2 linked regions of the Arabidopsis thaliana genome follow. The protein of the gene in region 1 interacts with the protein of each later gene in a pairwise test. Each region holds a gene or a part of one and is shown on either strand. Other genes may lie near its edges.

The links.
Region 2: the proteins of AT5G18910 (region 1) and GAMMA CA2 interact in a two-hybrid assay, tested with the Arabidopsis thaliana proteins (one large-scale study listed by BioGRID).

What each region holds. Positions count from the first base shown.
Region 1 is NC_003076.8:6,305,984-6,311,608, forward strand, and holds AT5G18910 (Protein kinase superfamily protein), read right to left. Parts: upstream 3,596-5,625; 5' UTR 3,414-3,595; coding exon 3,343-3,413; intron 3,222-3,342; coding exon 3,133-3,221; intron 3,023-3,132; coding exon 2,600-3,022; intron 2,502-2,599; coding exon 2,250-2,501; intron 2,154-2,249; coding exon 1,999-2,153; intron 1,872-1,998; coding exon 1,792-1,871; intron 1,687-1,791; coding exon 1,551-1,686; intron 1,413-1,550; coding exon 1,263-1,412; intron 1,191-1,262; coding exon 1,011-1,190; 3' UTR 616-1,010; downstream 1-615. Other genes in the region: AT5G18900 (2-oxoglutarate (2OG) and Fe(II)-dependent oxygenase superfamily protein), read right to left, coding at 50-183; AT5G18920 (Cox19-like CHCH family protein), read left to right, coding at 4,112-4,252, 4,337-4,432.
Region 2 is NC_003070.9:17,318,912-17,325,563, forward strand, and holds GAMMA CA2 (gamma carbonic anhydrase 2), read right to left. Parts: upstream 4,574-6,652; 5' UTR 4,437-4,573; coding exon 4,322-4,436; intron 4,174-4,321; coding exon 4,030-4,173; intron 3,770-4,029; coding exon 3,644-3,769; intron 3,542-3,643; coding exon 3,390-3,541; intron 2,773-3,389; coding exon 2,473-2,772; 3' UTR 1,990-2,472; coding exon of another isoform or gene 1,507-1,989; 3' UTR 660-1,506; downstream 1-659. Other genes in the region: PAF2 (20S proteasome alpha subunit F2), read left to right, coding at 309-659, 1,507-1,989; AT1G47265 (uncharacterized protein), read left to right, coding at 5,657-5,887. UniProt on the Arabidopsis thaliana protein: Enzyme involved in the catabolism of H(2)CO(3) but that does not mediates the reversible hydration of carbon dioxide. Mediates complex I assembly in mitochondria and respiration. Binds HCO(3)-.

The sequences.
Region 1 (5,625 bases):
TTCAAAGTTTTGAAATTTCCCAAAATCACTTTAGGGGTTTTGAGGAAACCTGGGTTTCGATGAAACCTGCTTGACTTTGGAAGGATTGACGAAGACGCTAGAAGAACTGATCAGAGAAGTGGAAGATTGAAGCAGGACGGAGAAGATAGCGAAGAACGAAATCAATAATCCACGTCGAGCCATCGATACCGCTTGGATCTAGATGTACAAGGAAAGGAGATCGGAAGAGAGTAAAAGTTTAATTATTTTTTTCCGGGAAAATAAAAGATGAGAGAGCTTTTCTCGGGAAAGTGTTCAACGGTGATGACAACTTTAAGCTCTACCTAACGATATAACGACAAAACGCATACGTCGCTTGCGTTTCGGTTCTTTCAGAACTTTGGCTCCGAACCGAATCGAACCGAACCGGCTCCTTCTTAATTAGCAGCTCTTTTAAGAAAATTTTACAGAAATTGTTTAAAGTGGAAACATTTGAAAAAGGATTATCTGAGAAATTTTGAAATGGCAGAATTTATTATATGTTTGTATTTTTTTTTCTTTTAGGTTTTATGAAACATTGTAATTTTTGGAGTTGAATTTTGATTTTTTTATATACTTTTTGTTATTTGGAGTAGAGTGGATCGAATAATTGTTGATACAAATATAGTAAAACGGTCTACGAATACCATAAAAATTCAGGATATCTGATCCGCGTCTATCCCTAAATAGTAGGTGAATACGAAACGAATAACAAAATTCATACTGTGAAAATAACAAAACGATAGTTTTAAGTCAAATATGGGGAAAAAGGAAAGAACACAACGTCATGATCATGATCAAATACATACACCATGGTACAATATATGTTAAGGCAATATTGAACTTTTTCAGTCCTTTTCTCTACTAACTTAATATCCAATCCTGATCGGATTCATCTCCAATCCTCAGCAGTCATACAAACTCTATAGTGAACAAATATATGGACTCAATGAAATGTTTGTCTTGCATTTAGCAAGTAGGACATTTCAGAATTAATCCTTAGATGTTCCGAGAACGGTCTCCATGTGTCGATTAATATCGTTTAAATATCTTGTCGAGTTGTATTCTTCGTTATCCAATAGTTCTTCAGAGTAAGTCCTCTGGAGTTTGGAGTTTTCTCGCTCTCTTAGCTTATCTAAGCTGCACTTGTCTCCCCTCAGAATCTCCACAACCTGTATATGTGACCAAATTAATCACCTGTATATGTAACTTGATGATGGAATTGAATATTTTGATATGCTTGCCTGGCTCATCTGAGGCCGGTTCATGGAGGTTTGATGTATACACAAGGAAGCTATGAAGACAAGACGGTCCAACTCTTCTACGTCGTAGTCATCTTCCAGAATCGGATCAACAAGTTGTTTGATCTTGTTCTCTTTGATCAATGGCTTAGCCTACAAAGACATAGATATGTTAGGGATTTCACAATGAAAAAAACAGATCAATTAGTTTTAAACCTTCTAGGATTTTGAAGAAAGTACGAGATAAGGATTCTATCTAGCTATGGTTGAAGAGGTAGCCACATCACATACCCACATGACAATGCTATGTTGTGAGCTGTCGAGGGCTTGTCTACCGGTAATGAGCTCGAGAAGCAGGACACCATAAGCATATACGTCTGTTTTCTCGTCTACTATCCCATGCATGAAAAACTCTGGCGGAAGGTAACTGATCGATGAACACATAAGAGATTATGTAAGATAGATATATATAAAACACATGATATTTGTGAATCAGTGTGTATGATCTTTAACAAAGAGAGAGATTCCAAACCCGAATGTTCCTTCAACTTTTGATACAGTATGGTGAGTCCATTGGTCTGGTAGCCATTTCGCTAGCCCGAAATCCGATATCTATAGTCAACATTTGTTCGAAAAAAATCAATAAATTACTTCAAAATAAATCTTTTTTCATAATAATAACTTCAAAAGACAATAAACTAGGGTATGAAGATCTTAGGTTTTTCTTAGTAATAATTACCTGAGCCTCAAAGTTCTGAGTGAGAAGAATGTTAGAAGCTTTAATGTCTTTATGAATGATTCTTCTCTGACAACCTTCATGGAGATAGTAGAGTCCCTCTGCTGTTCCCATCGCCACTTTGTATCTCATGCTCCAATTCAGTTTCTCCTTCGCCTCTACAAAATGGTACAAGGATATTTGTTTGGTTTTTGATCCAAATCATAGTTTGAGATGACATTGAAAACATCAAACAAAAGAGAATTATATATCACCGTAGAGCAAAGAAGCAAGGCTTCCATTAGGAGATAGCTCAAGAACAAGATGCATTCCTCCTTCAACACAATAACCAATAAGCTTAGCAATGTTTGGATGATCTACATGAACAATGATCCCTAGTTCGGACAGATAATCCATCGTCATCTCTTCTGCAGAACCTCTAGTCAACTTCTTTATCGCTACTATCTGCCCATCTGCCATTTGTCCCTTATACACCTCCGCATATCCTCCTTCTCCGATCAGATTTTCTGCCATAATATCCACATGTTTTCATGTTACATCACTGCATAAAATAGTATTTATCTATTGAAAATGTATAACAAGGGTTCTTTAGAGGTTTCCGGACCACGGCTGTAGTCATTTGTCGCGGTCTGAATATCTCGGAGAGAGAAGTTCCTCCAGGAGGGTTTGAAATAGAACAAGTGATCAGTGTCAAGAGCAGGTATAACGGGAACCATGTTGTCCCTTATGCGTTTGCTCTTCCGTCTGGTCAGTTTCGGAACTCCTTTGAGAGGTGTGAACGTGTTGAATGGCATTGCGGATGATCCTTTCTTAAGCAAACGGAAGAAACCTCTTCTCCAGTGACCGTTGTTGGGACCTCCAGACGAATGATGATGATGGTGATGGTGATGAGTTTCTGATGAGTCTGACGTGCTCACCACGGAAGATGAAGTTTCGGCTTCTATGCTCCTTAATAATTCATCGTCTGATTCCGATTTGATGGGGCAGAATGTTTTTACTTCTTCATCTCGACAGAATGATGATAAATCTGTTGCACAGAAAACGAAATTCATGCCAAGGACAAGGACAAGGACAATCTCAAGTCAATGAGATCTTTATAAAACCTAATTAATGATGATGCAGTTTTTAATAAATTACCATGAGAAGAGAAAGAATCAGAGAAGCCGGCTCGAGATCGTCTTGTAGAAGGAGTTAATTGTTTTCCACGATTGTCAACGTCTACATCGCTGAGTTTGTATATTTCCATATGAGATGACTTGTGAGACACGGTACATAATCATATACAAATCTTGTAGATGTTTCTGAAACAAACAGTATATCTTGTAGAAAAGATGAAAGAAAATTTACCAGGACGGAGACGAAGAAGACGACGTCGTGGAAGAGATAGTTTGTGACGATGAGTCTCGAAGGCCTTCCATGGATTGGAGACAAGAAATGAGACAAAAAAGGGAAAGAGAGAGAAAGAGAGAAGAGATCAAAGACTAAGGAAAGAGAGAGAGAAAGTAACCATGATCATTGGTTTTCTCTTACACCACCTCATCTTCTCTTCTTGTTATTAACTGAAAATCCGCCTCTTCTCTCTTTCTTAATCTTAGACGAAAGAAATATCCATTTTTGCATTTCAGACAGAAAATCGCCAGAGAATATTCTCCATAATTTGATCAAATGTTTTAAAATCCTAAATTTAGAATACTAACAGACTAATGTCTTTTTAGTTGTCAAATTGGAACAAAAATTTAAATCACCATTTTGCAACAAAAACAATGACATTTTCTTTGATATTCAAGAAAACAAAAATTGTTTGTTTGGTAGTTTATTCTCTATTGATTGTGATAGCTCCCACGTTGGTGGGTAACGCCACGTGTCACAGTGACCCGACAAAGGTTAGTGGAGCTGAAGTCATTTGAGACAACAATCTTTGTCTTTTGTTCAACTTCTACTCTTGGACTTATCTACATGTTGACCACTTATGCATGAGACTGAAAGCTTCTTCTTATACCAACTAAACGGGCCTGGGCTTTAGGTTAAAAAACTTTAAAAGCCCAAAAGAATAAAATAACTTTCCGATTTCTGAATCTTCTTCTTCTCTGCTGAAGAAACTAAATTTCGCAGTGAAATGGAGAAAGTGACGGAGAATCCCAATTCCGAGACGCAACCTTCTCCTCCTCCTCCGCCGAATCATCAAATGGATGCAGACGACGATGACGAGAATGTGAAACAGCTCAAGGAGTGTTCTTCTCTCTATTTATCTTTACAGGTTTGTGTTTCTCATCTCTTTGATTTCCCCAAATCAAATTCCTTAAATCATTGATTTCGATTTTGTTTGTCTCCGATTTTGTAGGATTGTCTTGTTGATAGTAATAGGGACTGGAAATCTTGCCAAAAACGTACGTCACTCTCTCTATCTCTATCTCAATTTGTAAATTCTGAAATCTGAGGGTTTTAGTTTAGAGCTCAGGGGTTTAGGGTTTGTACCTAATCGAACGAAACTGGGATTATTGTTAATATGTGTGAGGAATTGTTGGCTGATTGATAAAAGAACTGATGGATTCGGACAAAATGTTGATAAGAGTTTGTTGTTTGTTATGTGTTACAAAGATGTTCAAGCTTTGAAGGAATGTCATGAAAGGAGAATGAAGAAATGATAGAGATTAAGAAAAGCCAATACTTGATTAGTTACTGCTTATAGAGGAACCATATAAGTATGACATTTTTGTCGTCTTGCAAAATTGATTAATAAAACGGTGTCTTGTGATTGTGTTCTTGTTGGGGGGATTGCAAAATTTACAAGCTTTCATTCAATGTAATCTTGGTTTTATTTTGTTGCTATTTGATTTTGGTTCATTGCATAGAATCTTTCTCTTTACTCTTAAGACTTCTCTTTCTGACACTTATTTCGGATAAGACAATAGTGATGGTGTTTTGAGACAGTTTGATTTGTTTTCTTCGTGGTAGAATTTGGCTCTGCTTTATAATGAGATCTTGAACGTTTGACTCCTTTGCGAAGAACCTTTGTACATCACTCTTCCAGAAACTATATAAGAAGAGCAAAACAAGCTCGTTAAAAGATTTGATTTTTGATTTATTTACTTGGGATGAACTGAGATAAGTCATGTTTTTGGCTAAGGTTTACTTTTTAGCCAATTATTCTCACGTGCAAACTGGATTTTGATATGTTGCGGTGGGAAAACTTACATGCGCGATTATTAAAAGTAAATCACATATTAATACTTTTAATTGGTCAGCCACAAAAAGTGTAACCTTACTTTTTTTGCCTTATGAGTTTTAGATTCATTGGATTTTAATTTTTTTAGTATGTAGTAATAGATTTTAAAATTTATTCATTCTTTGACTTCTTATGGTTAAATGTCAAACACACACATGGAGAAAAAAAAGCATTTGCCTAAAAAAAGAGCATGAGCCGCCAAGTCCTTAATATTATCCAAGTTTTTAGGGTCACAGTTTCAAGTTATGCATAATTTTAAAATTTTATTTCATTCTTGATTGTTCTATGCTTGATCTTGTTCAGTGTAGTAGTAGTAGTAGTAGATGTGATGGAGACTAGCAACAAAATGATACGACACTAAATACTACAAATGTGTAAAGGTAAAAGATGATGGAAGGTTTGCT
Region 2 (6,652 bases), on another chromosome or scaffold:
GTAAAACCAATTGAAACTGCAAATGTTAAATTATGAATTAAATTAATTACTATAAAAAGAAATAATATAATGCTAAGTATTTATTTATAAAATTATAATCCTTTTAAATGTGTAAAAAATAATAAAGAGTAATGGATAATTAAACCCAGCCCATTAAGTTTCATAAGCCCATTTTACTCTACTGTCTTCTTTCTCTTTTTTTTGACAATCTTTACTTTCTTCTTCTAAGCTCTATAAGAGAGACCATCCTCCTCTAGCTTGAAGCAAACGAAAAGCTTTTGAAGAACAGAGGAACAAGAAGAAGAAAGATGTTCAGGAACCAGTACGACACAGATGTGACAACATGGAGTCCCACAGGTCGACTATTCCAAGTCGAATACGCCATGGAAGCTGTGAAACAAGGCTCCGCAGCAATAGGACTCAGATCTCGCTCTCATGTCGTCCTCGCTTGTGTCAACAAAGCACAATCAGAGCTCTCTTCTCATCAAAGGAAGATCTTTAAAGTCGATGATCATATTGGTGTTGCTATTGCTGGTCTCACTGCTGATGGTCGTGTTCTCTCTCGATATATGAGATCTGAGTCTATTAATCACTCTTTTACTTATGAGTCTCCTCTTCCTGTTGGTCGTCTTGTTGTTCATCTTGCTGATAAAGCTCAGGTAAATTGAGATTTTTGGGTTAACTTTTGAATTTTGACCTAGAATTTGCTAAAGGGTTTAGTTTTATGATGTGTGAGTATCTGAAAGTTTGAAGCTTTATGTAATTGGAGTAAAGTTTAGGTTTTTATTAGCAATGTGGCCAATTTTATTTGTAGAATGTGTGTGTTGTTATGCAAGTAGTGATATTGGTTTGTGATCAAGTCTTAGTGATTGGGAATTAGAGATTCTTGTGTTGTTAATCATATCCAGTTCTGTTGCTAGTTGCTTAATCCGATTAGAAAGAGTTAACCTGTATACCCACTTTGACGATAGAAGTGTATAAGAATGTGATGATTTTGGTCGTTTGGTTGTTTCTGTGTTGTCATCGTCTGTTCTCTTTGCTTGATAGAGTTGTTTTTGCTTGCAATTCTAGAATAAATATACGTCTTTGTTGATCTCTTTTTGGTTTTGTGGTTTTGACTTGTATTACTTTGCATTTGTTTACTTACTTGTAGTTGTAGTATGTCCTGGCCACTTTATTTACTTGCCTAATGAAGTATATTTTCAGTAAGATGTTGGTTTACAGTTGTGATAGAAATTTGTGCTACATGTTCACTACTTTTGGTGTTAAACGTAGTGTTCTCAAGTTAGATGATGTGTTCACAATTTTTAAAAGGTTTGATTGCTACGTCCCACTTACTTTCATGTCTGTCAAAAATTAAGTTAGCTGCTGTATCTACATTTTCAATTGATTTCTGAGAACGTATTGATATCAGTCTTGTAGTTTGAACAACACTCTGATTTCATTCAAATGTTAAGTCATTTGTTTGTCTTGTATTAAACATCTTCATAAATTATCTTTGAGCAGGTATGTACCCAACGATCATGGAAACGGCCTTATGGTGTGGGTTTGCTGGTAGGTGGATTGGACGAGTCAGGAGCTCACCTCTACTACAACTGCCCTAGCGGAAACTACTTTGAATATCAAGCATTCGCTATCGGGTCTCGTTCACAAGCTGCGAAAACCTATCTGGAGCGCAAATTCGAGAGCTTCCAAGAATCATCAAAAGAAGATCTGATAAAAGATGCTATTATGGCCATAAGGGAAACTTTGCAAGGGGAAACACTGAAGAGCTCGCTCTGCACTGTTTCTGTTCTAGGAGTCGATGAACCATTCCATTTCTTGGACCAGGAAAGCATTCAAAAGGTGATTGATACGTTTGAGAAGGTTCCTGAGGAAGAGGAAGATGCTGGTGAGGGTGAGGCCGAACCCGAAGCTGCTCCTGGTGCTGCTGGAACTGGTGAACAAGGTGGTTCAGGTGATCAAGATGTTGCACCAATGGAAATTTGAGCAAGAGGGAATGAGTTCAAAGTTGGATTTTCTAACCAATTTTCTTGTGTGTAGCTCTTTGATATGTTCCAACTTCCAAGTACAATTGTGGTTTTTATTCGGCTTTGTTTATTTAACAGCTTGGAACAAGGAGTTATTGAGTGCCACTAGCTTATGTTTAGTCCTACTTAAGTCAAATCTGTCACATGATAATAATAATCGGCGAATCGCCAACCTAGAGAGTGTATCAAACAGACACCATTTTGAATGAGAGAAACAGCGAGAGAAAGAATGAAAGATTAATCCAACTTTGTTTCTCTTTCTGCAAATTGTTCCTCGAAGAAATGACTTCATAATGCAACCATACATTATTGAGCAAGGATGATAAATCTCCTGCTTGCTCGGAAGAAAAGTTAAAACCAAAATAATATCTCTCTTGACCTTCCAGAGAATCAATCCTGTCTTGAAATGATTTCAACACACAAAAACAACCTGAGATTGGAATTAGAAGTACTGAGTAGACGGAACCTTGGCGACGGGTTTACCACCTGGTAAGACATTGTCGGGAAGAATCAACTCCGGTGGAGTTTCACGGGTAATCCCAAGCATTGAATCGTAATCCTCGTCCTTGCGTGCATACTTCTTCCTAAGCGCTCTCTCAACCTCGATCTGCTCAAATGACTTTGAATTCTCTGAGGCGTGAATCTGTGCGAGATTGATGTAATTCTTTGCTGACTGTGAGATGTATACTATCTCTTCATCTGTTAACTTTCTCATGAACTTTGCTGGATTTCCTCCCCACACCTGCCACATGAAACTGATAACTTATAGATATGTCCTTGTAAATATATTCTCAGGTTGACGGTTGAAGAAAGTAGTTCAAAAGCATAGCGATATAAGAAATCCGTCTAATTCCTCATAAAACATTGGAAACACAAGAACCCTCTGTTACTCCCAACTCACCCTTGTTTCATATACAAGTAGAATTGCAACGGAAACAAAGGTGGTTCTCAGATTTAGACGATATATAAATACTATTTACTCTTCTTTTTGATCAAAATATAATACAATTTACAGGCATATCATTTCATTAACTAATTCTGTATCAACTAAATTGTAAGCAAAGCAAAAGTGGATCTACTTGAAGAAGTTCAGCTGGTCAAGCCTTAGCTACAGGTCAGCGTAGGACTAAATGCAGCAGACTACAGCTGCTATTACTTGGTTAATTAGCAGTTCGTTATTAGGCTTGGTAGAGCTTCAGGGTCCGTGATAAGTAAACCTAGCTAGAGTTCTATTTTTGGTTCTTGATACTTTGGATTTTCTCGTTCAGTTTAGTGAGAAATAAAGCAGTTTCCAGTTCCAGTCTTATCACAAACTCCGTAAGCAGTAAACCAGAAAAGATAAAGTGGAAAGAAAGAAACCTCTCCAGAAGGGATTCGCGTGTTCTGTTTCACAAGAGAACCAGCAGCAACCATGGCATGTTTCTCAACCACCACACCATCAAGTAGTGTTGCTCCCATACCAACAAAAGCATCATCCTCAACAGTACACCCATGAATGACAGCACTGTGACCTGCTCCGTTTCATTTTACAAACAAAACCTTTAACTAACAATCGTGTAACACAACATAAAAACAGATACTTCAAAACTGATAAATCGCTTTTTAAGGTTTACCTACTGTTACATTGTCCCCAATCAGAGTAGGTAGAACCTTGCCACTTATGTTGGTCTTTGCAACATGTACAAGCGTATTATCTTGGATATTCGTCCCAGATCCAACACTGATGTTATTCACATCACCTGCACAAGTTAGAAACCCAGATTAACATACAATAAGTTTCACAGCTACTTCATGACACATTTTATCGACAGTACAATAAATCTATGTCCAATGATCAGGACAGTAACGTATAACAGCGATACAAGATTATTAGAAGGTAAAGAGAACTTCATTTCCTAAAACTAAACTATGACTACTTTGCACAATATACTGCTGCAAAATTTGGTACTTCTATCGAACCAAAGGCCATTAAGACTTTCTAGAAGTAATAAAGCCTCACCTCGAAGAACACAGCCATACCAAATCGACGAGCCTTTTCCGATCTGAACATCACCAATAACAGAAGCACTCGGAGCCACAAACACATCTTTATCCACCAATGGTGATTTATCAAACACATTCATCAACGTCCGATGCCTCGACACTGAAAACAAACACAAATTTCTCGAATCAAATTTTTTCAATCTAAGCCACAAATTTCTCCAATCAAAGGTGAAGACACAAATTAGAGATAACGAATTGGATCTAGGGTTTCAATAGAGAGTATTAAGTGGAAGGATCTGGAAGCTTACGATGTTCCTCGATACGGTGACTTCCTTGAAGAAGAGAACCAACGCGATCAAGAGCTTGACCAGTTCCACGAATCCAGTTACCCACAGTGTAAATTGCTCGTCCTAGGGTTCCCATTTTTTTGTGATTCTCCGATTACCCAAAGTGTGAAAATGAGAAGGCTTTGTTGTTTTTGGTGTCGCTCCACCAGATAGAGAGAGGTTTATGGAGGCGTATTGATGGGAGGATTTTTTTTTTTAACTCGAGTGAGTTCGTTTATTTTGTTGACCTCTAAATTTTTAGAGTATGGAGTGGTAACTGGTAAGCTAAACCAAACCGAAATTTATTGGTTGGACTTACAGAGATTGTGAATACAAAATCCGGATAGATTCGTTTTGCAATGTAAGGAGATGGAACAAAGCTTTCAGGAGACAAACACAAAAATGAGTAAAATAATTAATATAATTTAGCAAAGAAAATAAAGAGATAAAAATAGAGATATTAGCTTATATTGTGCATTGGATATTGGAAGTATTGCATAAAGCAAAGAAATAGTTTTTAGTATAAGGATTGGAAAAAACATTGTTTGTATCTAAAATGGGGTCAAGAATGTAGAAGATGGAGTTTCTTGGGTGTTTTTCTTGGAGTTATACTAGAAAGAAGTCGGGCAAGTGATATTTACGCGTGGGCGATTTCTCTCTCAAATTTTTTTCTTCTTATAATCACAATCTCTTGTTCCGTCAATAAGTTTTTTCGTTGACTCCAGCGACGAAGAAACCCATTGGGACATGGTGCTTCAACCGTGATCCGCTACATCTTCTCGGCAATTCAATCTATTCAAAATCAAGGGAGCAGTGGAGGGCAAATGCGGCATTAGGGGAGTGCAAGAGGAGCAATTGCACAGGATCCAAAAATTATTTGATCAAAATTAAAGGGTAAAATAAAAAAATTTATCAAATTTGAGGTCAAAAAGATAATTTTGACTAAATCTGAGGGCCATAATAAAATTTTAACTAAATGTAAGGGCCAAACTCAAAATATTTAGTATAAAAGGGCTAAATTTGAAAATTTGTACAGTGACAGAGAATATATTGAGTTGGCCCTGGTGGAGGGGAGAAGATTATGCGAGACACTGTCGGTAAGAGCTATATCGGTGGTGTGGCTTCACGGAGAGGAAGGATGAGACTTCACAGTGAAGAACAAGGGCTGACGGCGGTTAGGTCGGAAGTCTAAAGATTCTGGAGGTTTCATTGGGTCGCCGCTTGATGGGGGAGGTCGACTCCGCTTCGGTGAGGCTTTACCACCGTCGATGGTCTTGAGATCTACTCACTACTGCCGTCAACTCTCTCGACTGAGCTATGAGATTCATGACTATGGCAACCCGGATCGCCTCTTCCTCCTCAAAACTGCTCTACGGTGGCAGGAGGACAACGGATCCTGAATTACCATCTCCGTTCGACGAATCTCGTCTAGGCTCCCCAAAGGGTTTCTGTTCCGGTGAGATTCTGCAATTCTTGGACGGCGGCTCAGATCGTGTTTTACGATATGAGATTAGGATTTTCAACTTTCGGTTTAGATCGGTTTTGTAATAGATGGTTTAGTCTGGTTATATGTAAGTGGATTGAGTCTAAGGGAAAATGTATGAGCCTAAATCCGGAAATAGTCCATTGGACCTTATTTATAACATTGAAAACCATTTTACAAAAAAAAAGATGGAGTCTCTTTTCTTAGGGTCTCCACCTCTCTTTATAGTCTTTTCCTTCCTCCTATGTATCTTTATTTGGCCATTAGGTACATATCTAGCTCATAAAATAACTCTCATAATTAATTCGTAAACTTGAATGGCAAGTTTACTCCTTAAACCATGACCATTAATTCATAAATTTAATCACAAATTAATATCAAGATTTAACCACCTTTCTTATGCAAGATGTACATTCTTTGCTCTGTAAAGTGATGGAACTTGGATGCGTAAGATGGATTTGTCGTGCGCGATCCGGTATCAACATAAGCTTGAGTTCTTTGAGTAAGGTTATTTGCTTGAAGACTAATATTCTTGTAATGCTGTTGGATATGAATTTGGATTAAGTAGTTGCGAGGTGACCTGACAAATACGCCGTGAGAAGGACTTAGTTCAAGTGATTGCGAAGTAAACCCAACTTATGCATCATGAGATGAGCTCGGTTTGAGTGATTTGTGAGGTGGAATCGATATATGTGTCGCGAGCTGAAGAGAACATCGAATATGCTCTTTCCGAGTTGGAGCCTTAATCCTGAAATTTGTAACGAAAGTTGGTTACTAGAGGGGATATTTTGAGCCTTAGGTGGTTTGATGCCACCGACTAATAAAATATT